Linked DNA regions of Cricetulus griseus. The protein of the gene in region 4 interacts with the protein of the main gene of each other region in a pairwise test. Links are inferred from orthologs where the notes say so. Each region holds a gene or a part of one and is shown on either strand. Other genes may lie near its edges. The genes, in order: Fam107a, Brd8, Sh2d4a, Fsd2, leukocyte receptor cluster member 1 homolog, Pbx3 and Cdc73.

Region 1 (4,181 bases), on a different chromosome or scaffold from region 4:
ATTTCTTGGCCCACCCAGGCACAGCCTGGAACCGTCCAATGCCCTAGACAGTGCCCATGTTTTTCAGATACTAATTTCATGGATCCCTAACTGGCTGCATTCTAAGTATGTAAGTATGGACAAGTCATTTCACCTGCCAAGTCTCAGAGACTTCATCTCTACACTGGAGGTAAGACTCAGCCTTTAGGACTGCCTTGAAGAGTGACTTCAATGACAGAGGCAGTGGAGCAGAATCAGTGTCTGGGGTCAGACCATCTGAATTTGTGCCCTAGCTCCATGATGAGTGACTTCAGAGCAGTAGGTTAGACTCTCTGGGCTTCCGTTTCCACTCCTTTGTAAAATCAGAATGCCAAGAGACCCAACTTTGTAAAGACTAAATGAACTGGAACGCAAAGAGTGCATAATTTATACTCTCTTGTTTTAGATGCACTGTAGCCCAATGCAGGCAGAGCAGGTAACCAAAGCTGTAGACATCTGCATATTCCAAAACTGCTTGATGCACCCTCAGTCTTCCCCTCTGGCTGTTTAAGGGACACCAGAAAGCCAGAGAAATCGTTCTTGTGGCGTCCTACCAACTTTCCCCTTCATCTTCTCTCTACTGCAACAAAGACACTGCTTCTCTGTACTTCTTGAATCTTTGCCGTGTGTTTGTTTACTTGCTTGTGTTTTGAGACAACTCTCACATAGCCCAGTCTGGTCTCAAACTAGCAATGTAGCTGAGGATGACCTTGAACTCCTGATCCTCCTACCTCCACTTCCTAAACTCTAGGATTACAGGTGTGCACCACCATCCCAGCTTTTGTGCTATGCTGCATAATGAAGCCCAGGCTTCGTTCAAGCCCTCTACCAACTAACTGAGCAACATCCTCAGACCACGAGTCAAAAGTACAGATGCATAGTGTTTGCTCCGAACTGCCGGGTTCTTAGCACTTCATGTATACCCCTGCCAAGCCTCACCTTAGTAACCCTGTGGGTGAAGGACTATCGTTCTCCACTCATCTCAGAAGAGGACCCTGGGCTTCTTTTCACCAGCCTGGCTGGGAATGGATCCCAGGAATGGCGCTCCCGAATCCCATACCTGCTTGTAGCCTTCACAGAGGCCAGAGGCCAAGAACTGGGCCAGGTAGGCAAGAGGCCAGGCTGGAAGGAAGCCGGGCCGTGCTCCATGTGATGCTGCAAGGGTGTCCAGACGCCCGCTGCGCCCTGACTGCTCCGGGCACAGAGACTGCCTGTGCTCCCAGCGGTCTTACACCACCGCTGTGTCTCAGAAGCCTAAGGTAACCGGATCCCTGGGCGGGTGGAGCAGCAGGGCTTCACTATCACTGAGACGCTGCTCAGGCCCCCAGTCCAGACTCTGCGATCGGGACACTCAGCTCAAGGCATGGCGCAGAAGCTGGGCGAGTGGGGCAAGGCACCCGCTGAAGCCACCGGGCTGTACCGGGCGATGCTGCTCAGGTCGGGTAAGTGGAAACCACGTCGCCGCCGGGACCACCCTCTGCAGACTGCAGGGTCCTGGTTCTTCCTTTCTTGGTGCCCAGGTTTTTTGGTTCCCATCATCTCAAAGCTTTGACGTTTCTCCATCACTCTTTGCTCTGTCCTTCCTTTATTTTTTTCTCATTTTTTCCTTCCATCCTTTGCCCTCATCCTGAGTGAGGAAACACATGAGCATGCACAAATGCAAACTTGTGCTTCCACTCCACATCCTGCCTGCAGGGGTTCCGCGAGGTCCCTGTCGGGGTTAGTACCTGGCAGTGTTCCCAAGAGCGTGCACTGGCAGTCAGGGAGGGAGGGAGGTCTGACAGCCAAGCAGGAAGGAATTCCACGGAGGAAGAAAGCCCTGAGTCTTGGCCACCACGGTTGCCCATGATGAGGGGACAGCATGGGTCAGGCAGCTCATAAGGCATTTGCTAAATGTGGGCGTGCAAAAAATTGGGAAGGAGGCATATGGCGGTCTTTTGGATGTTGTGGATGTGGTTGGATGGCAGGTGTTCATCTCTAAACTTTTTGTTTTCTTATGTGCGGAGAAGCACTGTATTTTCTACTCAGGAAACTTTAAAGGCCTTTTAGCCAAATAATAAAATAAATGAATATATGGTCAGCATAAAAATAGTTTGGGAAAACATCGAGATATAGAAAAAAGGGAGAAAATGCCCTTGATGAGGGCTTAGGATGTTTCCTTCTGGAGCTGAACTCAGGGAGGGGGTTTGGGGAACGGTAAAAGTGATTTGAAAGTGTCAACGGATTTGGCTCCCTGACCAGCAGCCTTCTCTGCAAGGAATGGGTCTCAGCCAAGAGTCGGCAGACTGGGTCCAAGGCGCCGTTGGGTCCGCCTACAGCTTAGGGATCAGAGTTGCTGCCCTGCACCACCCCGACCCCACCCCCAACTCCCGCCCCTGCCGACTGAGATATTGCCGCCTAGTTACTGGTTGTGAACATTTGAACAAGGGTTCTCTTAAGTCCCCAAACAATAACTTACCAAGGATTCAAAACCAACAATGGCTTCCTGGGGGCTTCCTTGCCTGCATAAAGCCAGCAACCCCCAATAGAAGAATCAGATTTCAAAGTTCCGTGTTGAGGTGCCCGTTCTCCTAAAGCGGGCAGCAAGGTTCCCTAACCCGAAAGACCCTGAGTTTTCTCTAGCTGTGAATGTTTTTCTCAACTTTTGGTGCATCTACACAGCAGACAAGTCAGAGCTCCCGAGTCACAGGCTTGTCTCCCTGAGGCCTCCCTGAGGGCTGAGTGCTTACTGATAGAGTAAGCACTAGAAACATCAAATGTTTAGTTCCACCTTCCCAGTTCTGCCAGGTCGCACTAATCATCCTCTCCCTTTAGTGAATAAGGTGACAGTTCCACAGAGCTGCAACAGCAGCCCATAGTCTGCTAAGGAGGTTTCCACCCTCCCCAGAGACAGAAAACACTTTCAAACTCAGAGCTACCTCTCCAAAGTATGATTAGATCCGTGGTTCTCAACTTGTTTGGGGTTCCACAGGGGTCACATACCAGATATCCTGCATATCAGATATTTACATTACGATTTATAACTAGCAAAATTATGGTTGTGAAGTAGCAATGAAATAATTTTATGGTTGGGGGGTCACCACAACTGAGAGATTGTATTAAAGGAAGGCTGAGAATCACTGATTTAGACAAAGAGTGACAATTGTTCCCATCTCTGCAATATAGTGATGCTTGCATCCATAGATCAAAGGGGCAGGACTTACCCCATAATCCTACTAGCTACAAACACCTGATAGTTACACTTAAGGATGTTGCCTTCTAGTTTATCCCAGGAATAGTTTACCTGTACATTTGTTTCATACTGAATTTCCAGTTTTTTCACTTCAGTGGGAACTTTAATGCTGTTACATGATGTAATAGCATCACTTAGGCAGGTGGCCCAGCTCTGGGGCTGAGGTTGCCATGCCTATGTCCTCCATTCTTCAGAACAACTGCCCAGTTATAGAGATGAGGAAGGCATGTTGAAGGTCTCCTAGCTGTACAGCAGTCCATCCAATGTTGGTGCCTGGGTTGGCACAGATACTCATAGCCCCCTGACTGGAAGAACTCACTCTGTGATATAACTCATGCTCAGTCATACCTGGAAAGCTATTGTCCTTCCATAAAAGTCTACCAGGCAAGTATTACTTTCACCCTGGGGAGAAAGGCTTCTGTCTGCATCCTGGTACCTCCCCAGGTCTGTACTCCTTGTTAGCCACCAGGGGGCAGTAAAACCTCCATTCCACTACTATTGCCAAGGAACATTACAAACAAACAAACAAACAAACAAACAACAAAAAGACCTGAACCCTGGTGCAATTTGAACCTCACATAAACAACAAAGAAGAGTTTATTGCAAGTAGCTCCAAAGATAAAATGGATGTGCTTGTACAAACAAAACAAAAAAATCCATTGTTTATCTGAATTAAATTCTAGGAGTGCTGCTTTCCCCCACCCTTCCCCCAGGCCTGCAACCATGGGCTTTCTGAAGTTAGATGGCTTTCTATGATCTTCCCATCACACATACATACACCTGGGAGGCACGGGAAAGGGAGGGAACAACAGAATATATCCTGGTTTGTCTCACTGATAGGAAAATGAAATAGGGGTAAGATCACTCTTAGAGACCAAATTCACCATGCCAATGGCAATGGGTTAAGAGCCAGTTTTTGGAAAAAGAACTC
Region 2 (3,500 bases), on a different chromosome or scaffold from region 4:
CCTGATCAGTATTTGTTTGTCCTCTAACAGGACAGTGTCCCCATGGGCTCTCCTGCCTTCCTTCTCTCTCTCTTTGTAAGTATTGAATGGCTGCAAGGGGTGATGTTGCCAGAAAAATTCTCAACTCCTGCTGGGCCTGGGTGGCAGAGGGAAATCCAACATGCAGACTGTGGCAGTGTCTTGAAATTCTTTTTATCCATTGAATAAGAAATTCTTTTCTTCTGCATTCTGGTCTCTTTGCATGTGTGTGTATGTGTGTGTGTCAGAGGGAGGGGGCTGGGGGAACTGCTGTAAGATCACTGCACTGAAATATGAAGTGTTCTTGGGGTAAAGACCTAGGATGCACCTGCTCCTCATTTCTTGCTTCCACCTTTTACCAGTTCTTATGAGTGGAAGATAGCTCAGAGCAGCACCTGCTGCTTGGCTTTTTAGCAGTATTGGTAGATATTTAACACACACCTTTCCACTTCCTCCTAACTAAATTGAGAGACTCCACAGATAAACCCTCACTAAAAATTAAGCTGGTAAAGGTACTTGCCATGGGAGTGACCTGAGTTTGACCCACAGACCCCAATGAGAGTGGAAGGAGAGAGCTGACTCCACAGAGTTGCCCTCTGAACTCCACATGTGCAGCATGGCACGTGTGCTCCTACACAGACCTCACACGCAGGAGTGGTAATGTTTTTAAAGACTTTTTAAAGATCTCAGTAGCAGTGACTACTGGATGCAATAATAGCTGGTGAGATTATAGATAAACATAATAGATCTAGCCAAAAGGCTTTTATTCTTTTGCTCCATAAATTAAATGACTGATTCTGTTCATGGTAGAGCAGTGAAGTAAGGGACAAAACATGCTGAAAACTACATGGTCTTAAGATCATTAGCTAACCTTAATTTTCTCCTCTATGTGATAGAAGTAATAATGAGTTGAGGGCCAGGAGGATTGCCCGCAGGATCACTGCATGCCTAGGCTGTGGAGTAAGACCCTGTCTCAAAAAAAAAAAAAAAAAAAAAAGCAGGAGGGAGTACTAGAGAGAGGCACAGAAGTTAAGAACACTTGATGCTCTTGGAGAGGATCTGGGTTGGGTTTCCAGCAACCACATGGTGGCTCACAACTGTCTGTAATTCCAGTTTCAAGGAACCCAAAGCCCTTTTCCAGCCTCTGCAGGCACTGCACACTTGTGGTGCAAGTATACACATACAGGCAAAACATTCATACACATTAAATGAAAATAAGTCTTTAAAAAAAAAAAAAAAGAAGACAAAAGAAAGAGTAAGATTGAGGTACCTGTCCAGCCTACCTCACAGGGATGTTGTGAGGATAAAATAAGTTATAAAATTAACTTGAAAAAAACTATTAAAACGTTACACAAATGCAAGGTGTTATTTCTATTCTTACTGTTGGCTGTTGGCAACTTATGTTCTAAAAATTTTTTAATCCTTGCATATTAGAAATACAGAAATGGTCCGGCCCAGCAGAACTGTTCACTAGTTCATCTTGCCTGTAGACCTGTACCACAAAGAGAACACTGTGATCTCTATTCTTTCTTATTGGCCTGCAACAGTGACTCTGGATCCTCATTCAAGTGGCTGGCTATTGCAAGGCCGGTTAATAAGATCTTTTATCTATGGAAGACAGCAAAGTTTTGCACAAGAGGAAGGAGCTGGGCTACAGGGAGAGAGCAGCAGATGGAAAGAAGCCTGATTGTCCTGATGTCATGGAAAACAACTGTCAGGAGGTGCTAGGGAACTAGTGCCAGGGTCAGTCTGCAGGAAAGGCCTTTCTTATAGGGACCAGCAACTGGACAGGTATGTTAGCCAAGAGCTTCACTACCCTTTCTGCCTCTCCCACCTTTCACTTTCTCTTCCTGTTCTTTACACACAGTGTGGACCTGGGTGGGATGACTGGTAGTCATTCTGTGGGACCTCAGATGAATTTCAAAGACCCTTTGTATTGGCATGAAAAAAATGCTAGTCTTAATAGTTACACTCACAAAATGTCAGGTGTTCTTTTAGCTACTCTGTGGGAAAACAAAGTCCCTTCCACTTCATACCTTTGGTATTCTCTGTAGATTCTTTCCCCCAAGAAATCAAATTCCCAGCATTCCTATTGTATGTTGTCTCTTAACAGGTAACCAACTCACTCATGTTTCTTTCCTTTCTTTGATGTTGTTTAGGATGGGGGAACCAGGGGACGCCGCTGTGCCATTGAAGCAGATATGAAAATGAAGAAGTGAAGCCTCAGAGTTCCCTCTTTGAGCTGAACCTGAAATAGAAATAAACAAGATATAGCTTGGGCTTGTGGGCTCAGGTCTACACTTGATCTTAGTCAAAAGGCTGAGAAGCAGTATGGGCCCAGAAGAGAAGGTTCCTGGGTCAAATGACATGAGTTGAGAAAAATCTCTTTTCAGAGAGTTGGAGTAGCACAGTTGCCCGTTTTAGGGCAAAAATCATGGGCTGTGTTAGTGCCCTAATGTGTAGCTAGAAGATTGTAGCTTATTTGTATTATCTTGTGAAGTGTACAGACTTTTTAAAAAAATAAACCTGTGACGTGTGTGTATATAACAAATAGAAGGAAAACTTTGGCCTTTGGTGTGTGTCCTTTGTGTTTGAAATGTGTTTTCTTCACCATACCTAATCATATATGGGGATAAGATTGTTAGAGCTGAGAAGTGGTCTTATAAGCTGTCTGCTGCAACTGAGAAGAGGTGAGTAACCAAGACTGAATTCATAATTGTGTGAATTAAGTGTGCAATAAGGGCTATTGGGGTTTTCTTGAATGTTTGGGAAACGTTAAGGTTTTCAGGATCTAGTTCATATATAATTCCACAGGGATTAGAGTATGGACAAAGGTGGCAGAATATTGTCAGGAATGTTTTGTGCCAGGACTGACAGCAAATGCTATCAGTATTTCTATAGGTAGAACTCTTGTACAATATTCTTTTGTTTTTTGAGGTGGAGTCTCTGTATTTTGACAAGGCTAGAGCTCAAAATCCTCCAATTTCAACTTCCCCCGTAGCTTGGATTACAGGTGCATGTACCACATTGGGCTAAGTGATTTAAAAAAAAAAAAAAAAAACAAAACAAAACCATGCACACACAAAAAAACTTATTGTTAAATTTATTTATTTATGTAAAGGTTTATCTCTGAGAGTTGGGAAGTTTAGGGCTGGGAATGTGTTTTGATAGTATAGTGGTGCAGCTCTCAGCTAGTGTTCTTGGCAATCTCCAGTGCTGGGGGAAGGAAATCACTGGAAAACAACATGGTGGCACATACCAGTAATCCCAGCACTTGGGAAACTGAGGCAAGGGGATAACTGACTGTTTGAGGCCAGCCTAGGCTTCAGAGGGAGACCTTGTCTCAATTGGTGGGGCTTGTGTGATGTCTCAGTGGGTTCAGGTGCCTGCTACCATGCCTGACTACCTGACTTTGGTCACTGAAACTCATACGGTGGGAGGAAAGAACTGACTCCTGCAAGTTGTGCTGTGACCTCCACATA
Region 3 (3,500 bases), on a different chromosome or scaffold from region 4:
TAAGCAAACAGGCAGCATGAGACATAGCCCTCAAGGACACTCCTCCAGTTGCTTCCTCCAGCTGGGCTCTACCTCCCAAAGTTTTATAATCTCCCCAAGTGACTCCAGCATCCAGGAACAAAGCATTTGAGACATGAACTGGGGTATGTGGGTGGGGAGGAAGAGGCTATTTCATATCTCAGCTATGGTGAATGTTTATGGTAGACATGAATCAGCAACCTTTCTAAGAGGCACAGCAATAGAGCTGGGGTCTCTGGGAGAGATGCCTTGGGTTGCTTTCCTTTTGGGTGCCGTTTCCCATCTTGGTAGAGGGATCTATCAGCACTTTCCTAACTCCAGTGCTTGATACATGCTCTCATGCGGGGCTTTGTGGTATAGGACCGGGGTCTTCATCTTCCCCAACAGTGATGGGCAAAGAACAGGTAGGAGAAGTGTTGGTGGGTTGACCTTGGCTTGGGGGGAATTCAAATTCCTCCCCCTATTAAAGATCTATTTAGAGATTTTTTTCTTAACTTTGTGCTCTGGGTGACTTAATGAGCTAAAACTTCACTAGCAATTAGAAGGGCTATGAAAACCATTTGATTTTCACCAGGAAGTGTTCTGTTTGTTTCCTTAATAACCAGAACATGAACATCAGCGCAGAGTGAGAGTGGAGGAGGAGGAACCAGGAGCTCCTCTCTGCTGCAAAGCAGAGTGAACTTGAAAAGAACATTGCTCCTCCCTCCCAAATCAGAGCCCACGGGGTGACTCAGCAAGCTGTGCTGTTGATTATTTTCTGTATGTTTACTATGCTGTCTATTCATTTCAAGAATTACAATAGAACTAAGAAGGGAACTTTCGAACGTTGAGTCAAACTCTATGAACCAAGAAATGAGACTGGGAATTCAAGAGACATCTTAATTATACCTCTCATAAAGCCATATATATATATATATATATATATATTATATATATATATATATATATATATATATATGCACTCATGCTGGGCTTTGTGGTATAGGACCGGGTTTTATTCTTCCCCAACAGTGATGGGCAAAGAGCAGGCAGGAGAAGTGTTGGTGGGTTGACCTTGGCTTGGGACATAAGTAAGTTAAGCTCTAGCCTCTCAAAGACCAGTGGATACATACATTGAAGACTAGTTTTATTAGAATTCAGGAGACCTTGTACTGGTATCCAGCACTCAGTAGATCTATCTTCTGGTTCTGTCACTAACTTGCAGGGCTTCCTAGACCAGGCTGTTTCAACTTTAGCACCGTTGATGCTTTGTGCTGGATAATTTTTACAGTACTTGACTGTTTTGTGTATGTTCAGTAGCACCCCTTGCCTCTACCCCATGAATACAAGTACCACCCACACCCACAACAACTGCACCAGTTACTTCTTACATCACTGTGAACACATCGGACAGTAAGAACATAAGACAGAGAAGATTTATTTGATTCCATGGCAAAGAAACACTGGCAGTGGGAACAAGGGGAAGGTTCTTCACATCATTGCAGACCAGGAAACACTTCACATCATATTGGATCAGGAAGTGGAGAAAAGAGAATTCTAGCCCTCAACTAGCCTTCTTTCTCCTCTTTTCCATCTCATCTACTAGCCAATGGGATGATGTTACCCACATTCAAGGTGGGTCTCTCCCCTTCAGTTCATTCTCTGTGCAAACCACATTAATTTCACAACACATGTGATTTGTCTCCTTTGTGAGCTACTGTTTTAGAGCAAGTCATGTCACTTCCCAGACCTGAGTCCTCACTGACCGACAGTGGTGGCCCTATAAGAGCATCTGAAGTTCATTCGGATCTGACCAATTACCCTCAAGATAATATACCAGATTGTCATAAGTGGTAGACAGCTTGTGTCAATGCAAATGGGTCTCTAAGTGAAACTATTTGTAAATACAGTTCTTTTACTATGTGTCCTAGTTTGCTTCTCTGTTGCTATGATTAAAACACTGACCAAAAGCAACTTGGGGAAGAAAGGGCTTATTCCAGCTTGGAACTCCCAAATTTCAACACATCAAGGGAAGGCAAGCAGGAACTTATGGCAGGAATCTGGAAGCAGAAACTGAAGCAGGAGCCAAGGAGCAATGCTGCTTACTGGCTTGCTCAGTTTGGTTCTGTATACAACTCAGGACTACCTGCCAGGGGTGGCACCACCCAAAGAGGCCTGGACCCTCCTGCATCAATCATTACTCAAGAAAATGTCCCCACAGACCAGCTTGATGGCAGATATTCTTCAACTGAGAGGTCCTTCTTCCAATGTGACCCTATCTTGTGTCAAGCTGACAAACTCTCTGTTTTGCGTTTGTCTAGTTATCAAATACCAAGGGGATTGTTTGTTTGTTTGTTTGTTTTACTGATTCCCAAGGACCGCAAAATACACATGGAACAGCTCTGCCTGTCACCAAACTCTATTCATACAGTGAGGGGCAACACAGGAATGGCTTACAGGTACTTTGCTAAAATGACTTTTCTTTCCCCCTTCCCACAGGGATTCTCACACTAAAGAAAGCAAATGACCTTCTGAGCACAGGTGTGCCAGGAAGTTTTCTGATCCGAGTCAGTGAAAAGATCAAGGGCTATGCCCTGTCCTACCTGTCTGAGGAGGGCTGCAAACATTTCCTCATAGACGCATCTGCCGACTCTTACAGCTTCCTGGGTGTGGACCAGCTGCAGCATGCCACCCTGGCAGATTTGGTGGAATATCACAAGGTGAAGCCACTCATATGCTTAATTTGTCTTGGGAATTATTGTCCTATAGATATATAACAAAGAGGGGCATGGCTAGGGATATTGCTCAAAAGCAAGCAATGGGAGGGGCAGCATATAATTCCCCCTGTCCTTTATCACATCCTCCTGACACACTCAGAGATATCCCACTGGATCTGAGAATACTGGAGATGCACATACTGGTCACATGTGTGAATGGTCCCATGCTAGAACTTGGACTCTAGCAGGAAAGGGAAGCTGCCAGAAGGAAATTGCTATTAAGGTTGTCAAAAGCCAACATATGTTTGCACAAGCCTAGAGTAAAGGGGTGATATCCTGAGGAGGTAGAAGGGCATCTACCACACAGCTGCTACATGACCCTGTGCTTTGATTGACAGGAAGAGCCCATAACCTCCCTGGGGAAGGAACTCCTGCTGTACCCCTGTGGTCAACAAGACAAGCTACCAGACTACCTGGAGCTCTTTGAGTAACAGCTCTAGTCAAGATCAGCCTTCAGCCAGGTTTTCCTCTGGACAGACACCTCGGAGGTGGACAGTTGCCTGTGATGCCAAAATCACTCTGTGACAGAGCCAACAGTGAAGAATGCCTTTGAGGTTAATTGAAACCTTGATTCTGCATAAAAGCTGGAGTTCAAGTCAAGGGGATACATCCTCTCCCCATCCTCATTCTGAAAGGAAAAGGGAGAAGTGTACTCATTTCAGTAACATCCTAATATGAAGAATAGGACCTTGAAGGATATGACCATCATGTTGTATATAAGATAAA
Region 4 (4,207 bases):
AGTCAGTGGAAAGGTTACTGGAAACCTCCTACCACTGTTACAATAAACCAATCAGACCAAATAAATAAATCCAGGTTTAATCTGAGCAAAGCATTCCTGGGTGGCCCCAGGAGAAGAGAAAACCAGGAACTAGGAGCTGCATCCAGAGATTGGGATTTTAACATCCTCCAGGGTGGGGCCACCAATGGTAGGTTTTTTAGGGGTAGAGTCTGGACTTAGGTGACTCCAGGGGATGGCCTGCCCTTGGCAACCTGAGGGCAGGGTTTGAAACAGGCTACCAAACATTCCAACCTCTTTGAATAGATATAGAGGCAGGTAGGACTTCCACCTAAACACAACCAAACAAACAAAAAGCCCATCAGGGGCAGGGGTTTAGGGAAGTGGTTCAGTTGGGGCAAAGAGCTTGCCAAGCAAGTATGAAGGCCTGGATTTGGATCTCCAGCACCTATATAAAAAGCCAGGTGCAGTAGTGATCCTATGTAATCCCATCACTGAGGTGACTGGAAACGGGGATCTCCAGGTCTTGCTGGCCAGCCAGGTGAGCCAAATTAGAGAACTCCAATTTCAGTGATAGGCCCAGTCTCAAAAAATAAGGTACAGTGTGGCTGAGGAAGACACCCAAACTTGACCTCTGAGCCTCACATGCATGAGCATACATGTGTATGTACACTTGTATACACAGGTACACACAAACACACATATATGTTCCCCACCACACACCAGCTTCAAGGACAGAAGAAAACTGTTCATTTCACCATCTGGATAGGGCTACCATAGTTTTCATTGTTGGAATTAAAAAAAAATTCTAAACCCCATGCAATTGGCACTTTGATTGGAAATTTTCTGCTTTATTTATCCATATAATAAACATGTATAAACACACTTGCTTTGAAACATCCAGTGTAACAGACCTGGAGATACACACACACCAGCCTCTCCCACCTAGATGACATAGTAAATGTAGTAGGGGATGCAGACAAGTGACCATCACCTCTGTAGCTACCCGGTGTGTGTGTGTATGTGTGTGTGTATGTGTGTGTGTGTGTGTGTGTGTGTGTGTGTGTGTGTGTGTGTGTGTAAAATCTATGGAGAGCTGAAGGGAGGGGACAGGTGACACCTCACATTCTAAGAAATAGGTCTGAGGCACATGCCTTTAATCCCAGGACTCGGAAGGTAGAGGCAGGGGGATCTCTGTAAGTTTGAGGCCAGCCTGGTCTACAAGAGCTAGTTCCAGGACAGCTGGAGCTGAAACACAGAGAAACCCTGTCTGGAAAAACAAAACAAAAAGAAGAAAGAAAAAGAAAAGAAATAGCGGCCGGGTGTTGGTGGCACACGCCTTTAGTCCCAGCACTTGGGAGACAGAGGCAGGTGAATCTCTGTGAGTTCGAGGCTAGCCTGGTCTACAGAGTGAGTTCCAGGACAGCCTCCAAAGCCACAGAGAAACCCCGTCTCAAAAAAAGAAAAGAAATACCATTTGCTTATTGTGGCCACGGATGGAAGCTACACGTGTGATGAAATCACCAAGTAGGTTCTTTTTTAAAAAATATTTATTTATTTATTTATTTATTTATTATGTGTACAGTGTTCTGCCTGCATGTTGCCTGCAGGTCAGAGGAGGGCACCAGATCTCATTACAGATGGTTGTGAGCCACCATGTGGTTTCTGGGAATTGAACTCAGGACCTTTGGAAGAACAAGCAGTGCTCTTAACTTCTGAGCCATCTCTCCAGCCCCAATACCAAGTATGTTCTTACCTCCACTGTAATGAACACCTCCTCCAGGTGGCTAGCAAAATTTTCCATCTCAATGATCTGCTGTTCCAATTTGAACATGTTTTTGTGGATTTCATCCTGTGGAACAGAACAAACAAGGTGTTAATGCTATGTTTGTTTTAATTTTGTTAAATTAAAAAAATATATGTATGGACATTTGCCTGCATGTATGCCTGTATACCATATGTGTGTCTGGTGACCACAGAGGCCAGAAGATAGCATCAGATCCCCTGGGACTACAGTTACAGGTGATTGTGAGCTACCATACTCTTAACGGCTGAGCTATCTCTCCAGTCCCCCATCCCATCCTAGTTGAGGCATTCAGGATGTATTCCCTGCCCACCTCCCTGAGACTCACAAATACTCTCCAGACAAAGATGGAAGGAGACCTGTTACCTTGGCACTTTCCAGTGCTTTGTTGAGTGGTGTTACTTCATGTTCTTTGTGTATTTCAAAATCCTTCTCAACAGTTCTTACTGGAGTTTTGCAAGTGACACAGAAGACATCAGCAGGCTCTTCTTCATCTTCCTCCTCTGGGATGACGTAGCATTCATACTCCTCACTGGCACGGCCATGTGTATACCTGTAGGCTTCCCGAAGGTCTTGGCACTGGCCAGGAAGGCCTTGCCCTCCATAGCCCAGGTCCTCCTCAGCCTCAGCCGCCTCACTGCTAAGCCCCCAGCCTCTCTGATCTCTGGCTGAGTCTTTCCTCCTCATCCCATAAGAAGGATACCCCAGAGTCCCCAGTCTGTGTTCATCAACAAACTCATCCCCTAACTCATGGTCATCTTCAAGTCCATATAAATGGACAAGCTCGTCCACTTCCTTCTGAAGATTCTTACTGTCCACTGTCCCTCTCGGCTCATTGGTCTGTTCAGCCTGGGTTACTTCTCTCCTGATTCTGCTGCTTTCTCCTGGGAAGAGCTGCAGCCTGTCTTCAGAGTCATACAGGTCCATGTGATAAAAGTGGAAGTCTTTGGGGGCTGTTGACCTGCCCAGCCCCGGCTCTTCCCCTGCTTCCTGCTCCATTGATACAGAACAGTCCTTCTCAGACAGTCAGTGGATCCTAGGACAAAGAAGAGATCAACATCAGTTCCCAAGAAGGCTATGGGTTAAGATCTCATCAAAGAAGTTATGGTCGAAGCCTGCATCATGGCAAACAAATTCACCAAACTGTCTGGGCTGGAGGTGACTCACAATTGTTCAACAATCAAGAAAAACACACGGAGACACAGGCTGGCTAGCAAGCAGAGGGAATTGGGACCCTGTTGAAGAAAGGTGCATTGGGGAGTACCACCCTGAAGTGGAGTCACCTGGAAGACCTTGTCTCAATCCTCAGCCCTCACAAAATATGTAAGATGATAAATATCGGTTATTTTAGGTAATCAAGCTGTGGAATAATAGTGTGCATGATACCAGCCTAAAACTAACCTTTCCCTCCTGCTACCATCTCTGCCTCTCTTTTGTTCATATTCAGGCTCTTTCAAAAGATGGGATTGATGATATTGGTCTTTTCCCCATGGCATGTGTATGAGGCTTTCCATGGGGAATGCAGGCACAGATACTATTAAGAGTTATCAGCTTTTAGATTCTTGGGTTTGTATTTAATATTTCTCTGGGTTGCTTTGCCTGGGAATGAGCCAGCATGTGAGGTTCTTTTCTCAACAGTCCTTCTCTTCTTTATTATAAAAGCAAAAATATACTTCCTGTTCATTCTGACTATTACATTGCACAGTGAGATTTCATTGCTTGGGATTCTAATAAAACCTCCAGGAGACTAGACAAAAGGACAATCTGAAGTATAGGTATCGATGCTGACAGTGAGTGACATTAATGAATGGGTAAGAAAAAATTTTTTCAAGGTAAGTGCTTTCCAGCTCTTTGCTTCCCACAAAATTGCAGGAGGATTTAATCAAGTTGTCAGCTGACACACTATTTAAAATAAATGTTCATGATAGGTCATTATGCAATTTTGGCATGTATTTCAGGAAGAACTGTCAGAACGGACTGGCATTGTTATAAATTGCTTCCCTTCCCACCTACTTATGTAGGTGAGCATGGTCACTCTGTGTTTGCATGGACAAAATTTAAAAAAAAAATACAAAATCTCATTCATGTTGCATTTCTAGAATGTGATATTTTCATACTTGGGTATGAATTTTTAAAAAACAAACAAAAAGTCCCATTCACTTTATTAAAAGATGCATTTGGGGGCTGGAGAGGTAGCCCAGTCAGTCAAGTGTCTGCCACACAAGCACAGGGACTGGAGTTCAGATCATTAAAATATGCCTCTTTAATCCAGCACTGGGAGATGGGTGAGGGACAGAGACAGGCAGGTACCTGGAGCTCTTTGATCAGCTAGCCTAACCCGACTGATGAGCTCCAGGTTCAGTGACAGTCTCTGCCTCAAAGAATAAGGGGAAAAGCCATCAATGA
Region 5 (4,003 bases), on a different chromosome or scaffold from region 4:
TGTGTGGTTTAGTGTTGGGGGGTTGGGGGCTGCTAGAGAGGAGGGCTGCTGCCTGGGTACCTATGGCATGGAAGACAACTGGGGTCTCCCTAGATCTGGTTTGGGGTCTGGATTCCCGGGTCTAAGGAAAAGAAGTCTGGGTTTGAACACTGGGTCTAAAGGAGGTCTGCAGTCTAGACCCCTGGTCAGAGGGAGGAGGGCAGAGGTATGGACTCCTCCTGGTCTGAAGCAGAAGCCAGTGGCCCTTGGGGGTCCTGATCCTGGTTTCTTTTTTGGGGGGGGGTTCGAGACAGGGTTTCTCTGTGGCTTTGGAGATTGTCCTGGCACTCCCTCTTGTAGACCAGGGTGGTCTCGAACTCACAGAGATCCGCCTGCCTCTGCCTCCCTTAGGGCTGGGATTAAAGGTGTGTGCCACCAGCACCGGGCGTGATCCTGGTTTCTAAGGAGCCATATGATGAAGGGGTGTGTGTGTGTGTGTGTGTGTGTATTTATTTTATTTTTCTGAAGTAACTTTCATCCCTGTCTTCCTTAGCATCCTGATGGTGTTTACAATAGCCCTGGCTAACTCTTACGGACGCCTCATTTCCGAGCTCAAACGCCAGATAGAGACGGTGAGCCATGGTGCTTCCCCGGCCAGGGCCCCCTGGGAACCTGGGAAGGACTCGGGTGTAGGGTGTAGAGTAGGCCTGCCTCACTTCCACCCCCTTTCTTTTTTCTTGCCCTCAGGAAGCGAAGAATAAAGTCTTCCTAGCCCAGCGAGCTGTGGCTCTGAGCTCAGCGAACGGAGCCATCTGACCACCCGAGACCCGTGGTTACACCTCCCTATCTGGTACCCTGTGGTCTCTGGATCGAGTCCTCCGCACCCCACCCCACCCCACCCACCCCAGTGCCACACTCTCAGTTGCACCGTTATTAATAAACAACAGCTTTGCATTTTGAAGCCGGGTCCTGAAGCTGGGGACAGGGTTTAGGGAGGGGCCTGATCCGGGTCCCGGGTTGTGTCTGCGAGCAGAGGGCTAGACAAGGCGGGGCAGCATCAGCCCTACACGGCGGCGTCCGGGGTGGAGCGACCCGGGGGTGGCAAACGTTTGGGATTGGCTGTGATGGAGGGCCTCTTAGCCAATCACCCCTGGATAGGGTCATAAGTGGGCGTGGCGTCTGGCCGGGAACCAATGCACAGGCGAGGGTGGGGCCACGGGGCGGGGGCACCCTCGCGCCAATCGGAAGTGTGGGAGTCGGGGGCCCGCTGGCTCGGAGGTCGGCGGGGGGACCATGAATATCTTGCCCAAGAAGAGCTGGCACGTCCGAAACAAGGACAACGTCGCCCGCGTGCGGCGCGATGAGGCCCGGGCGCGGGAGGAGGAGAAGGAGCGTGAGCGGAGGGTGCTGCTCGCCCAGCAGGAGGTGAGCCTGGGCTGGCCCGGAAGCGAGGCGGGCCTCGCTGGGTCGGTGGGTGACTCGGTGGCAGCCGCGGGTCTGTGCTTGCTGACGCTTCTCCGCAAATCCTTTGCTGACTTGCGCGAAACCGTCCTGGATCCCCTTCCCCCCCCCCCCCTGGTGTGGCTGAAGTGACCGCAGGCTAGCACGTCGGAGTGGGACGGCTGCCCCGATCACTTTGGAGATCGTCCGCACAAGTTAATTACTGAGCACCCACTGTATGCGTGCCCCCCCTCCTGCAGAGCGCTAGACTTGACACGACCCTCTTAGAGCGACTTGGAGTTGCAAAGGCTTCAACGAGGAGGGCAAAGGGCGGGCAAGCCGGAGTGCACTCCGTTAGACCTCTTCTTTCTCCACCATTGCTCCCCCAAACACACCCAGAGGCTGGCTTGCTCTCTCTCTCTCTTTTTTTTCTTCTTTCTTTCGGTTTTTTGTTTGTTTGTTTTTATTTTTCGACACAGGGGTTTCTCTGTATTGCTTTGGAGGCTGTCCTGGCACTCACTCTGGAGACAGGGCTCGAACTCACAGAGATCCCCCTGCCCCTGCCTCTGCCTCCCGAGTGCTGGGATTAAAGGCGTGCGCCACCAAAGAGGCTTTCTTTGAAACAGGGTCTATGTAGCCCGGGCTGCCCTGGAACTGGCTATGTAGACCAGGTTGGTCTCGAGCTCTGAGATCTCTTGCCTCTGCCTCCTGAATGTGGGATTGAAGACCACGCATGCATGCACAGGCGTTAGTAATTACTCAATCATGTTAGTTTACAATTAAGTCCCTTGGCCAATCTGATCATGAAGTAGTGTGGGTATTTAAAATTTCGGAAGTAGCCGGGCGTTGGTGGCAATGCAGAACCTACCTGGGATGGGAGTGACACGGGCCATCACTAATGTGTTTGGGATGCTGACCTGGAGCCACACCTGGGGTTCAGATCTTTTGTCCAGAAACTGTGTTTGGCTTCCTAATAAGCTGTATTTGGGAGTTTGTACATGTGTGTGCTGGGCATACACTAAGCAGGGGCTCTATGGGTGAACAAGCCACCTCTATACCTTATAGCTGAGTAGTTTTTGTTTTTTTAGATTTTATTTATTATGTATACAGTCTTCTGCCCACATGCCAGCAGAGGGCACCAGATCTCATTCAAGGTGGTTGTCAGGAATTGAACTCAGGTCCTCTGGAAGAACAGTCAGTGCTCTTCACCGCTGAGCCATCTCTCCAGCCCCTAGCTGAGTGGTTTTTGATAGCTGTTTTTCTTGCATGACTCCAGGCTGTGGAAACCCTTCTGTTTTAGGCTGGGATCTCCCCAAATATCCCTGGTAATCCAGTTAACTGTTTAAAAACAACCATTCTCGTCGGGTGGTGGTGTCGCATGCCTTGAATCCCAGCACTTGGGAGGTAGAGGCAGGCAGATTCTCTGTGAGTTGGAGGCCAGCCTGGTCTACAGACTGAGTTCCAGGACAGCCAGGACTGTTTTACAGAGAAACCTTATCTCAAAAGCCAAACCAAACAAAAACCCCATTCTCCACTTCAAATTAGAAATGGTGTCTTTTCTGGCTCCCAGTACCTCTACCCCCGCCCCCCCCACACAATTTTTTTTTTTTTTTAAACCTTTTTCCAGATAGCTTCTCTCTATGTAGCCTTGCCTGCCCTGGACTCTGTAGACAGGCTGGCCTCGAACCCACAGAAATCCACCTGCCTCTTTCTTCCTCCTGAGTGCTGGGATTAGAGGCGTGTGTCACCACCAGCCGGCTCATGGCCCTTCCTTGGAGCCCCCAGCACTTCTACGTTCTGAATGTCCTGCCTATAACTTTCTTCACAGGCCCGAACAGAATTCCTACGGAAGAAAGCCAGGCACCAGAACTCACGCCCTGAGCTGGAAGCAGCAGAGGCAGGCGCTCCAAGTTCTGGCCCTGTGGACCTGTTTAGGGAGCTGCTGGAAGAAGGGAAAGGAGTGCCCAGAGGCAATAAAGAGCATGAAGAAGAGAAGCGACAGGAGAAGGTAAGCTGCTGGCCTCTGTTGGCTGATTTCGGTGGGGTGGGGTGGGGCGCTACCAGCTGTGACTAACAGCTGTTTCTTATGTTAACCTTAGCTAGTTTATTTTGAGATGACACCTCAACTACACAGACAGGCTGTCCTCCAGCTCACAACCCCCTCCGGCGCTGGCCTCCTGAATGCTAGTCGTCAGCATCTGTCGCCAGATGGCGCTTGTGCTTCTCACATTGTGAACTGTACTGTGGCTCTCCTGCATCCCACTGAAACCACTCCTCTGCTTTGCTGCAGTTTTTCCTTAGACGCCCCCTGCAGATTAGCCATCAGCACTTTTGCGTAGCTGGCCCCTGGTCTGTGATTTCCCTTGTTGAATACCCACCAGCCCCTGCCTCACTGGGAACTCAGGCCCTGGGTTTCCCTACTGCCACATGCCATATCTAGGGCTCCCAGAGGGACTTGGGAAGACTATTTTGTTTTCTTGCCCCCACAGGAGAGGCAAGAGAAAGCACTAGGCATCCTGACGTATTTGGGCCAGAGCGCAGCAGAGGCTCAAACGCAACCTCCTTGGTACCAGCTCCCCCCAAG
Region 6 (4,069 bases), on a different chromosome or scaffold from region 4:
CCGCGGGAGGGGCGGGGCTTTGGGATCCTCTTTCCCGGTCTCAGCTCAGGACTTTCGAACGCTCCAATTGGGACAACCCTTTCTTGACTCTGTCCCGCCTCGTTCGGCGTTGAAAGCAAAACGATTGGTCCCGGGCTCGCGGCCTTGTGCCCAGAGGGTACCACCTCTTGACAGGAAGAGCGGGAAAGTGTACCAGGCACTGTCCGAGGCGTGAAGCTCACCTCACGCAATGGGTGACCACGCGGTTGGCTTTGGGGAGACTATCCCGGCCCCCATATACCACCTCCGGATCCCTAGCTGTTAATGATAGGAAAGGAGTAGAAGCCGGGAGGCCCCACTTTGCCGGTCGGGGCTGTCCATCTGCGGAGCGCGGGCGCGACGAGGCATGGGATTCCCGGGCGCGCTCTCTCGCGCCCCACTACCGAGGCCAGAGGGGACGGTCCCAGCCTCGGGGGCGGGGCCTGTGGCGGCGGCGGGAGGTGCAAGGACCAATGAGCGCAGACCCCGCCCCGGAGGCGGGGCATCCGGAGCGCTCCCCCGCCCTCTCGCTGGCCCCCGCCCCTCCCCCCGGCCCTGGCGCCGCAGTGAGTGAGTGGCACTGGCAGCCTGTCAATCCCTCAGCCGAGCGGCCTTCGAGCCCCGGTCCGCGGCGGCTGCTGGCTGGGTGCGCGCTCCCGGAGGTCGGCGGCGACTTCTCCCGCCTCATCCATCTGCTGTCCCCGGCGTGCGCCCGCCGGGCCCTCCATCGGGCTCCGCGCCCCCCGCCGCGTCGACGGCCGCCCCCAAACTTCCTCCTCCGCCCCTCGTCGCCCCGCGGCCCGCCCGTCGGCCTCCTCCCTCCTTCGTCGCCGCCGCGCCGCCGCCGCTCCCTCCCCGGGGCCGGCCGGTGCTCGATCCCGCCAGCTTGAGGCGGCGGCGGGCCGCTGAGGGGAGGGGACCGTCAGGCTGGCGCGGGCCGCGGCGGCGGCGGCCGCGGCGTCCCGACAACTCGGCTAGCGCTGAGGACCAAGTTCGCGGGGCCCGCCCGGCGCGGCGCGGGCGCTGAGGAGGCGGCGCGGCGGCCGCGTGAGGGCAGCGGGCACCGCCGCCCGCCTCCGCCTCGGCCAGTTGCCGCGCGAGCGCGCCGCTTTCCGCCCGCCGCTGTCCTCAGTCTCCGCCGCGGCGGAAGCCGGAGCCGGACGCCGGTCCGCGTCCCCCTCGGTCGCGGCCTCGCCGGGCCGGCCGCCCTCCCCCGCGGGCGGGAGCGCGCGGCCGCCTCCCCTCCCCCTCCCCCTCTTTCTTCTCCTCCCTCGCCACCGCCGCCGCCGCCGCCGCCGCCTCAGCCTTCGCCTCCGCCGCCCGCTCCCGCCCGCGCGCGGCGGGATGGATGATCAATCCAGGATGCTGCAGACTCTGGCCGGGGTGAACCTCGCCGGCCACTCGGTCCAGGGGGGCATGGCTCTGCCGCCTCCCCCTCACGGCCACGAAGGGGCGGACGGCGACGGCAGGAAGCAGGACATCGGCGACATCCTCCACCAGATCATGACCATCACCGACCAGAGCTTGGACGAGGCGCAAGCAAAGTTGGTGTCGTCTCATTAAGCATCTTTTGTGTGTGTACGGGAGCCGGGCTCGGGTCCCGGGTGGCTCCCTGGACCGGGGCCTCAGTGGCGGGCGGGAACTTTCTCCGCCTGCCAGGGCGGGCCTGCCGGGCACTCGCGGTGCCCCCATCGAGCGGGCAAAGTTGCTCTCCGGGCTCGGGACAGCCTCAGTCGGTGCTTCGTCCGTGCCCTGCTGCCCGGCCCCCTCCTCGGATTTAAACCTCCCGCCCGGACTCGTTGCGCTCTGCGTCCCAGCCAGCCCCGGGCCATGCCGCAGAGAAGTGCAACTTTCTCTGCCGGCCCAGACTCACGGCGTCCACTCCCCTCGGCCGGGCCCGGGGTGACCCGCGGCTTCCCCGCAGGTCCGGGTGCGGAGCGCCAAGTTCTCTCTAGGAGGGAGGGCAGCTTTGCAAACTTTGCGGAGCTGTCATCCGCAGATTATCTGGCGGCGGCCGGCCTCCGCGCCCGCTCCCCTGCGGAGCTCTGGCGTGGGGTTCCCCTCCGTGCCGCCCCGGTCCCCGGGGTCCCCGCCGCGATCCCTGGAGCGGAGCCCCCAGCACGGGTCGTCCCTGCGTTCGCCGAGGCTGATGTGTCGGCCCAGCATATGGGTCGCGCTGCTTTTGGGCTGGAGTTCTCACCGCTAGAGCTTGCCTCCAGTCGCGAACTAGTCAACTTGAGTTTTTGTTGACTTCCCGCGGTTCCAAAGAGCTTTTCCACCCCGGGGCCCAGTTTTAAATCTTTGGTCTAACTTAGGAAGTCGCCATATTATTCCAATAGGTGATGCTAACACCTTTGTGTTTTGCTATTTGTTTTTTAGGAAACATGCTCTGAACTGTCACAGAATGAAACCGGCGCTCTTCAGCGTCTTGTGTGAGATCAAAGAGAAAACAGGTAAGACTGCTGCCAGCAGTGGGCCTGGAGATCCCCCTTCCCCCCAGGTGGGGTTAGATCTACTCGTTGGACTCACCAGTTGAGAGCTGCTGCTTTTGGGCACCGCCATCTTTGATCATTCTCTGCTTCCCACCTCCTGATCTTGAGAAAAAAACTGCAATAAATCTGGAGTCTATTTCTCAATTCTGCTTTGATGCAAAATGAAGTATATGTGTGAAAGGGGCTGGTTCGCAGTTCTTTAGGCGGCAGCCCCTGACTGAAGTCAGGGAGGGGGCTCTAGTCAGCCGCCCTCTATTTCTTTTTGCCTTGTTTGTGTAGCAGTTTTTAAAGGGAGCAATGGGAGACTTCCAGGGACCAGGTGCCCGTGAGAGGCATCACCAGAACTTTGTTTTACTTAGACAGCCTTAAGCTTTGGTTCTAGTGGTAGAAGATACAGCAGAACAGACCTCAGTATTATGTCAGTTTTAGGTGGGGAAGATTACTTTTAAGAATTCAGGAAGGAAAATGATGTGCTTAGGCGTATACAATGTATCATACTAATGAGTACTTATATAAAATTGTCTATCTTGCAACTGTTAACAGTTGTAACTGAGTTTCAATATATAAAGAAAAATGTCCACAGATACAGATGAAACAATTTTGATGTTCAAGGCAGGAGTAGATGAGATGATAGGTTTTGCAGACATGCTAGCATGAAAATTGCAGATACATGATTAGGGAAATTTTTGGCAGTTCATTTTGGTTTAATTTTCTTGTCAGATTTTTTCTATTAAAGGTATTTTTACTTTTGACTTAATGGTAAAGCTAAAGTAGAAGTAGGGATATAATTCACATGTGTTAGTTTGTGTTTAGTTATCTTTCCTATATGGCAAGAAACTCCCTTAATTAAGCTTTACCATTAATTTATTTATTGTTGTATGTGTTGGGTGTATCACTTTTTAAAGTTGTTCTTTTGTAAGTTAAGGGAAAGAAGAAAATGTCAAGTCCAGTATATCGCATTTTCCAACTGATGTTGTTTTAATAGTTAAATGTTTGACTTTTTAAATTGAGTTTACAAATAATTGCAAACTGTCTAGAATTGTTAGGCTGGTAGTTGAGTTATACTCTGTTTAAATAGGTACTATTCATATTCCTAAAAGTAATGCAGAGAAGATAATTATTAGTAAATCTTGAAAACTTTATTTGCTTTTCATTCATGCCATGGATTTTTTTTTAATGATAAATTTTTTGGTGATATACTTTTCACTCTGAAAACCACAGTCATTTTAAATTATTGACTTATTGTATGTTGATTTTTTTTTTTAGCTACCTTTAGATTGCCTTGTGATTTAAGATGGTAGATTTTAATCTAACTATAAAGGCATCCAGCATAGAATCTTGGAGACTTTTAATTTGGGAGAATAAAAGTATATAATTCTTAGTATATTATGCTGCTTCATTTCTGAGGGTTTTCTTGCTAGCAGGGCTATACTCCAGTTTGTGCTGACAGCTATGCACTGGGGTATTGATTGTGTTATGAATATTAAAATTGATTCAACTTTATGGCATTATATTGCTAAAGAGAGGGAATTGATACTCTTTTCTAGCAAGAGCCCTCT
Region 7 (4,061 bases), on a different chromosome or scaffold from region 4:
AATATCGAGGGCGCTAACTACTGTGGTGATACTTTGTTTATAATCTAACAAAGCTTGTCTGAAGATAAGAATGTAAAGCTAGTCACAGCCAAAGAGGCTCAGCAGTGGTGGTACACACTTTTAATCCCAGGATTCAGGAGACACAGGCAGATGAATGTCTGTGAGTTCAAGGCCTGCTTGGAGAAACCCGGTCTCGAAACCAAACCAAACCAAACCAAACCAATCCCGTAGTCTGAAAGTGTATTAACTCATAGTTTGAGGTTTCTGAATGATCACCGCCTCACTTCACAACCTGAACCCATTTGAGGCTTTTGGTCATTACCCGGGAGAAGTTGCGGGGATGGAAAAAGTTATTTCCAAAGAAAGGAAGGGGAAGAGTTAACAAGTAATTGTACTTCATCGACGCGTTAGGATGCTTTCAGCTTACTCTAGTATTCATTTTATCCCGTCCATCAACCAAGCTAGGAGACCAGCGGCTCCCAAATGGTGCCCGAACTGTTTTCCAAGTGGTCTCATCCTCTTTGCAAATCCACCCCTAATCAAAACTCAACTTAAACTACAAAACGTCTACATTCCAACACCCCCAGTTTTCGGTAGCAGTTTATCCTGACCACAGGGACCTAAATGGTCCGCAAATTGAGGAAAGCGAAGCCTGGGGGGGGGGGGGGAGGGGGAGAGGAGTCAAAGAACTCAGCGCGCGCTCTAGGATTCCATGGACAGAAGCGCCCGGCAGGTGCGCGCGCACCTGTCCTCGCTCGCTCGCTCGCCCGGTCGCCCAGCGCAAGCTATGCGCTCGCCCAGTGCGCGCCGTGGAGCCCGAGCCGGGCCCAGTTCCGCTAATGCGCCGCACCTGAGAGCGGCGCGGCCGCTCGCCCCGTTTCCCCGGAGTCGGCGGGCGGCGTGCCCCGCGGGAGTCTGGGAGGCTCGTCCGCTCGCACCGCCTCCTGGCGGCGGCCCGCGGGGCTGGCGGAGCGTGGGTCAGTCAGGCGTTCTCCGCGGGCAGCCCGCGGCGGGGCCTTGCCTTATATAGCGCGGGGTCCTCGGCGGCCTGGGTGGCTGCTGCCCGTGCTGCTGTCGTAGACGCGGACGGCTGTTAGTGAGGCGGCTGTTGGTTCGCGGCGGCGGCGGCGGCGGCGGCGGCGGCAGCGGCGGCGGCGGCGGCGGCGGCGGCGGCGGCGCGGCCGGAGAGGGCGAGGCGACGGGGAAGGAGGAGGCAGGCGCGGCGGCGACGGCGGTGGCCGGGGCCCGCGGCGGCGGCGGCGGCGGCGGCGGCGGCGCGGCAGCGGCAGCGAGGGGGGCGAAGATGGCGGACGTGCTCAGCGTCCTGCGACAGTACAACATCCAGAAGAAGGAGATCGTGGTCAAGGGGGATGAAGTGATCTTCGGGGAGTTCTCCTGGCCCAAGAACGTGAAGACCAACTATGTAGTTTGGGGGTGAGTGCGGCGTGGCCCGTGGCCTAGTGGTGGCGGGGCAGCGCCCGGCGCCCCCGGCGCCCCCGGGCGACCTCGTCCCTAACCCTCTCCTCTCCCCCCCGAGTCCCTCGGGGATGGGAGGAAAACGGGGGGCTCGGGTGGTGGTGGTGGTGGTGGTGGTGATGGTGGGGGAAAGTTCTTCTCTGGAGCCGAAGTTGCACTTTGCGGGGGAGCGCGTTCGCGAGCGGTCAAGTCTTTGCTGTGTTGGAGAAGCCACAGGGAGAGGTGCCATGGGAGTTTCCGACTTTCCCAGTTGGTGTCCACCAGGATGTCCTGGCTGGTGGTCGGCGCCGGGGAGGGCTGCGCTCTGCACGGCTACCTGCACCTAGGTGCAGAAGCACAAAGCACAGCATCTGGCGGCCACCCTTAGTGTTTTTGTTAGTTTGGTTTTTCTCCCAGAGGCTGCCATGTGTTGCAACTGTCTCTCTCTTCTGGCTCTTGGAGCGCCAGGGTAATTTAGTTTCTTTCTGCCTCAATCCCCCCCCCCCCTTTTCATAATTGGGGAAGGATGATGCTACGCTTCAAGAAAAAAATAAAGAGGGGAATAGACTACTACTACTTGAAGCTCAGGAAAGAAAGAGATTGGGGAAGAGTTTGGAAAAGTCTGCCAAAATCACTGTTCGAGATGAAAGCAGGACTTGGTTGGGGGAGAAAAGTTACTGGTGAAATGCCGTGAGTTTTTTACATACGGGTCTGAGAAACTGATCCTGTGTGCTTTTCCGAAAGCACCCTAAAGAAAAAAAAAATGTTTGGGAACATTTCTATGTATGCATGGCACGAATTTAAGTCATTCAGGAAATCACCAAGGATGAAGTTTAATAATCCTTTGGGGCCTCTTTAATGATGCTACTGTTACTGTCATTGATGCTTCGTTTTGATAATTGGAGTCTCGGAGTCAATTTTGGTACGAATTTTTTGCTTGATTGAGTGACTTTATGAATGGTCATTGAAAAACTAGAAAATTTTAAGATTTTTTTTTATTTTTTGTTTCTTGTTTTTTTGAGAGAGGATTTCTCTGTGGCTTTAGAGGCTGTCCTGGAACTAACTTGTAGACCAAGTTTGTCTCGAACTCAAAAAGATCAGCCTGCTTCTGCCTCCGGAGTGCTGGGATTAAAGGTGTGTGCCACCACCGCCCGGTTTAAGATTTCTTTTGACTATTGATTCCCATTTTGAAGTGTTGACTAAGTGACATTCCCGGTTTACCGTGTTTCACTCTTTCAAATAAATTACGCAGAAATTGGATTATAATGGATATTTTTCTTTATAAAAACTCAAGGTATAGCTGAGTGTGGTGGTGAAAGCCTTTAATCCCAGCACTCGGGAGGCAGAGGCAGAGGCAGGTGGCTCTCTTGAGTTCAAGGCCAGACTGGTCTACAAAGCGAGTTCCAGGACAGCCAGGGCTGTTTTACAGAGAAACCAAACCAAACACCACCACCCCCAAAAAAACCCCACAAACAACAAACAAACAAAAACACCTCAAACAAAAACACCTTTATAAAGAAGTTTAATTTGAGAAATAGAAAAAAAGCTGAAAACTCTGATTCCTTCCTGCCTTTCATGAGGTTAGCCTATTTTGGGTAGAAAAGACCAAACAGATTAAGTTGATGTGAAATGTTTCTAGCTGATCTAACGAGAACAGTTATTTGTGGTTTACTTCTAAACTGGGCAGTGCACATCTTTAATCCCAGCACTCTGGAGGCTATGGCAGGCGGATCTGTGAGTTCCAGGCCAGCCTCATACAAAGCTCGAGTTCCAGTACAGTCAAGGCTATACAGAAAGCTTGTCTCGATCCCCTCCACCCCCCTGCACCAAAAAAGTTGTTTATGTCTAGGGGAGGGGGATATTTAGAAACAGTTCATGGAAATATATTTGACATGTGTCCATTCTACAAAGCCCCTTCCTTGAATAAATGAACAAATAGATGAATAAACTTTAAAGAATGGGTAAGAATTCTGAGTGAAATGGGGGAATAGCCTTCCAGTATGAGGGGACTGTGTATTTAAGATATGAAACCTGGAAAGGAGGTGTTTCCAGGAGGAAGAAGGGAGAATTGGAAAGCTGTGTATGTGTTAGTATTAGAGAGCTTGTACCCCCAAGACTACATTGTTTAATCACAGATAGAATTGTATTTTGGTTTTGTGTCACTCACTGGTCTAGTTTGAGAGATGTTACAAGGATCATGCCCTTGAAGTTGATCCTGTTTACTTTTCAGTATATTGTTGAGGATGTCGTATGGCAGTATCTTGTTTGGAAAGAACCATAAGATGTTCATTTTGTAAGTGCAGCCCTGGTGATACCTCCCCTAAGCAGTTTGTTTTCCCTGAATGATCCTTTTTATTGTGCAACTGGCTGGGTTTCTTTCTCTGTTGACAGAGCCCAGAACTCAATTTATGTGTAAAGTGAGGGTGAGGATGTAGACCAGTTGGTAGAGTGCTTGCCTAGCAAGAATGAGTTCCTGCATTTGATCTCCAGCACCACATACAACATGCACCCTCAGCTGTATAGCAGATTTGAGGCCAGCTGGGATACATGAGACCTTGCCTGCCTTAAAAATAGAAAAGAAAAAAAGTATATATAGAATATGAATT

The links.
Region 1: the proteins of Fsd2 (region 4) and Fam107a interact in binary tests that used the Homo sapiens proteins (3 or more experiments, as listed by UniProt). The two-hybrid records come from large-scale screens. The link is inferred for Cricetulus griseus from reciprocal best matches to the Homo sapiens genes FSD2 and FAM107A.
Region 2: the proteins of Fsd2 (region 4) and Brd8 interact in binary tests that used the Homo sapiens proteins (3 or more experiments, as listed by UniProt). The two-hybrid records come from large-scale screens. The link is inferred for Cricetulus griseus from reciprocal best matches to the Homo sapiens genes FSD2 and BRD8.
Region 3: the proteins of Fsd2 (region 4) and Sh2d4a interact in binary tests that used the Homo sapiens proteins (3 or more experiments, as listed by UniProt). The two-hybrid records come from large-scale screens. The link is inferred for Cricetulus griseus from reciprocal best matches to the Homo sapiens genes FSD2 and SH2D4A.
Region 5: the proteins of Fsd2 (region 4) and leukocyte receptor cluster member 1 homolog interact in binary tests that used the Homo sapiens proteins (3 or more experiments, as listed by UniProt). The two-hybrid records come from large-scale screens. The link is inferred for Cricetulus griseus from reciprocal best matches to the Homo sapiens genes FSD2 and LENG1.
Region 6: the proteins of Fsd2 (region 4) and Pbx3 interact in a two-hybrid assay, tested with the Homo sapiens proteins (3 studies listed by BioGRID and IntAct). The two-hybrid records come from large-scale screens. The link is inferred for Cricetulus griseus from reciprocal best matches to the Homo sapiens genes FSD2 and PBX3.
Region 7: the proteins of Fsd2 (region 4) and Cdc73 interact in binary tests that used the Homo sapiens proteins (3 or more experiments, as listed by UniProt). The two-hybrid records come from large-scale screens. The link is inferred for Cricetulus griseus from reciprocal best matches to the Homo sapiens genes FSD2 and CDC73.

The regions. Positions count from the first base shown.
Region 1 is NW_023276807.1:166,707,002-166,711,182, reverse strand, and holds the start of Fam107a (actin-associated protein FAM107A), read left to right. Parts: upstream 1-1,381; coding exon 1,382-1,460; intron 1,461-4,181. UniProt on the Homo sapiens protein: Stress-inducible actin-binding protein that plays a role in synaptic and cognitive functions by modulating actin filamentous (F-actin) dynamics. Mediates polymerization of globular actin to F-actin. Also binds to, stabilizes and bundles F-actin.
Region 2 is NC_048595.1:202,876,478-202,879,977, forward strand, and holds the end of Brd8 (bromodomain-containing protein 8), read left to right. Parts: intron 1-30; coding exon 31-75; intron 76-1,452; exon of another isoform or gene 1,453-1,809; intron 1,810-2,177; coding exon 2,178-2,237; 3' UTR 2,238-3,079; downstream 3,080-3,500. UniProt on the Homo sapiens protein: May act as a coactivator during transcriptional activation by hormone-activated nuclear receptors (NR). Isoform 2 stimulates transcriptional activation by AR/DHTR, ESR1/NR3A1, RXRA/NR2B1 and THRB/ERBA2.
Region 3 is NW_023276806.1:245,098,716-245,102,215, forward strand, and holds part of Sh2d4a (SH2 domain-containing protein 4A), read left to right. Parts: intron 1-2,496; coding exon 2,497-2,717; intron 2,718-3,112; coding exon 3,113-3,205; 3' UTR 3,206-3,500. UniProt on the Homo sapiens protein: Inhibits estrogen-induced cell proliferation by competing with PLCG for binding to ESR1, blocking the effect of estrogen on PLCG and repressing estrogen-induced proliferation. May play a role in T-cell development and function.
Region 4 is NC_048596.1:115,970,681-115,974,887, reverse strand, and holds the start of Fsd2 (fibronectin type III and SPRY domain-containing protein 2), read right to left. Parts: upstream 2,801-4,207; coding exon 2,168-2,800; intron 1,850-2,167; coding exon 1,754-1,849; intron 1-1,753.
Region 5 is NC_048602.1:21,581,544-21,585,546, reverse strand, and holds the start of leukocyte receptor cluster member 1 homolog, read left to right. Parts: upstream 1-1,203; 5' UTR 1,204-1,272; coding exon 1,273-1,404; intron 1,405-3,247; coding exon 3,248-3,427; intron 3,428-3,908; coding exon 3,909-4,003. Other genes in the region: Tmc4 (transmembrane channel-like protein 4), read left to right, coding at 533-611, 727-795.
Region 6 is NC_048599.1:146,089,749-146,093,817, reverse strand, and holds the start of Pbx3 (pre-B-cell leukemia transcription factor 3), read left to right. Parts: upstream 1-1,269; 5' UTR 1,270-1,362; coding exon 1,363-1,562; intron 1,563-1,801; exon of another isoform or gene 1,802-1,942; intron 1,943-2,397; coding exon 2,398-2,471; intron 2,472-4,069. Other genes in the region: basic proline-rich protein-like, read left to right, coding at 386-588, 622-1,045. UniProt on the Homo sapiens protein: Transcriptional activator that binds the sequence 5'-ATCAATCAA-3'.
Region 7 is NC_048598.1:46,725,254-46,729,314, forward strand, and holds the start of Cdc73 (parafibromin), read left to right. Parts: upstream 1-1,261; 5' UTR 1,262-1,303; coding exon 1,304-1,434; intron 1,435-4,061.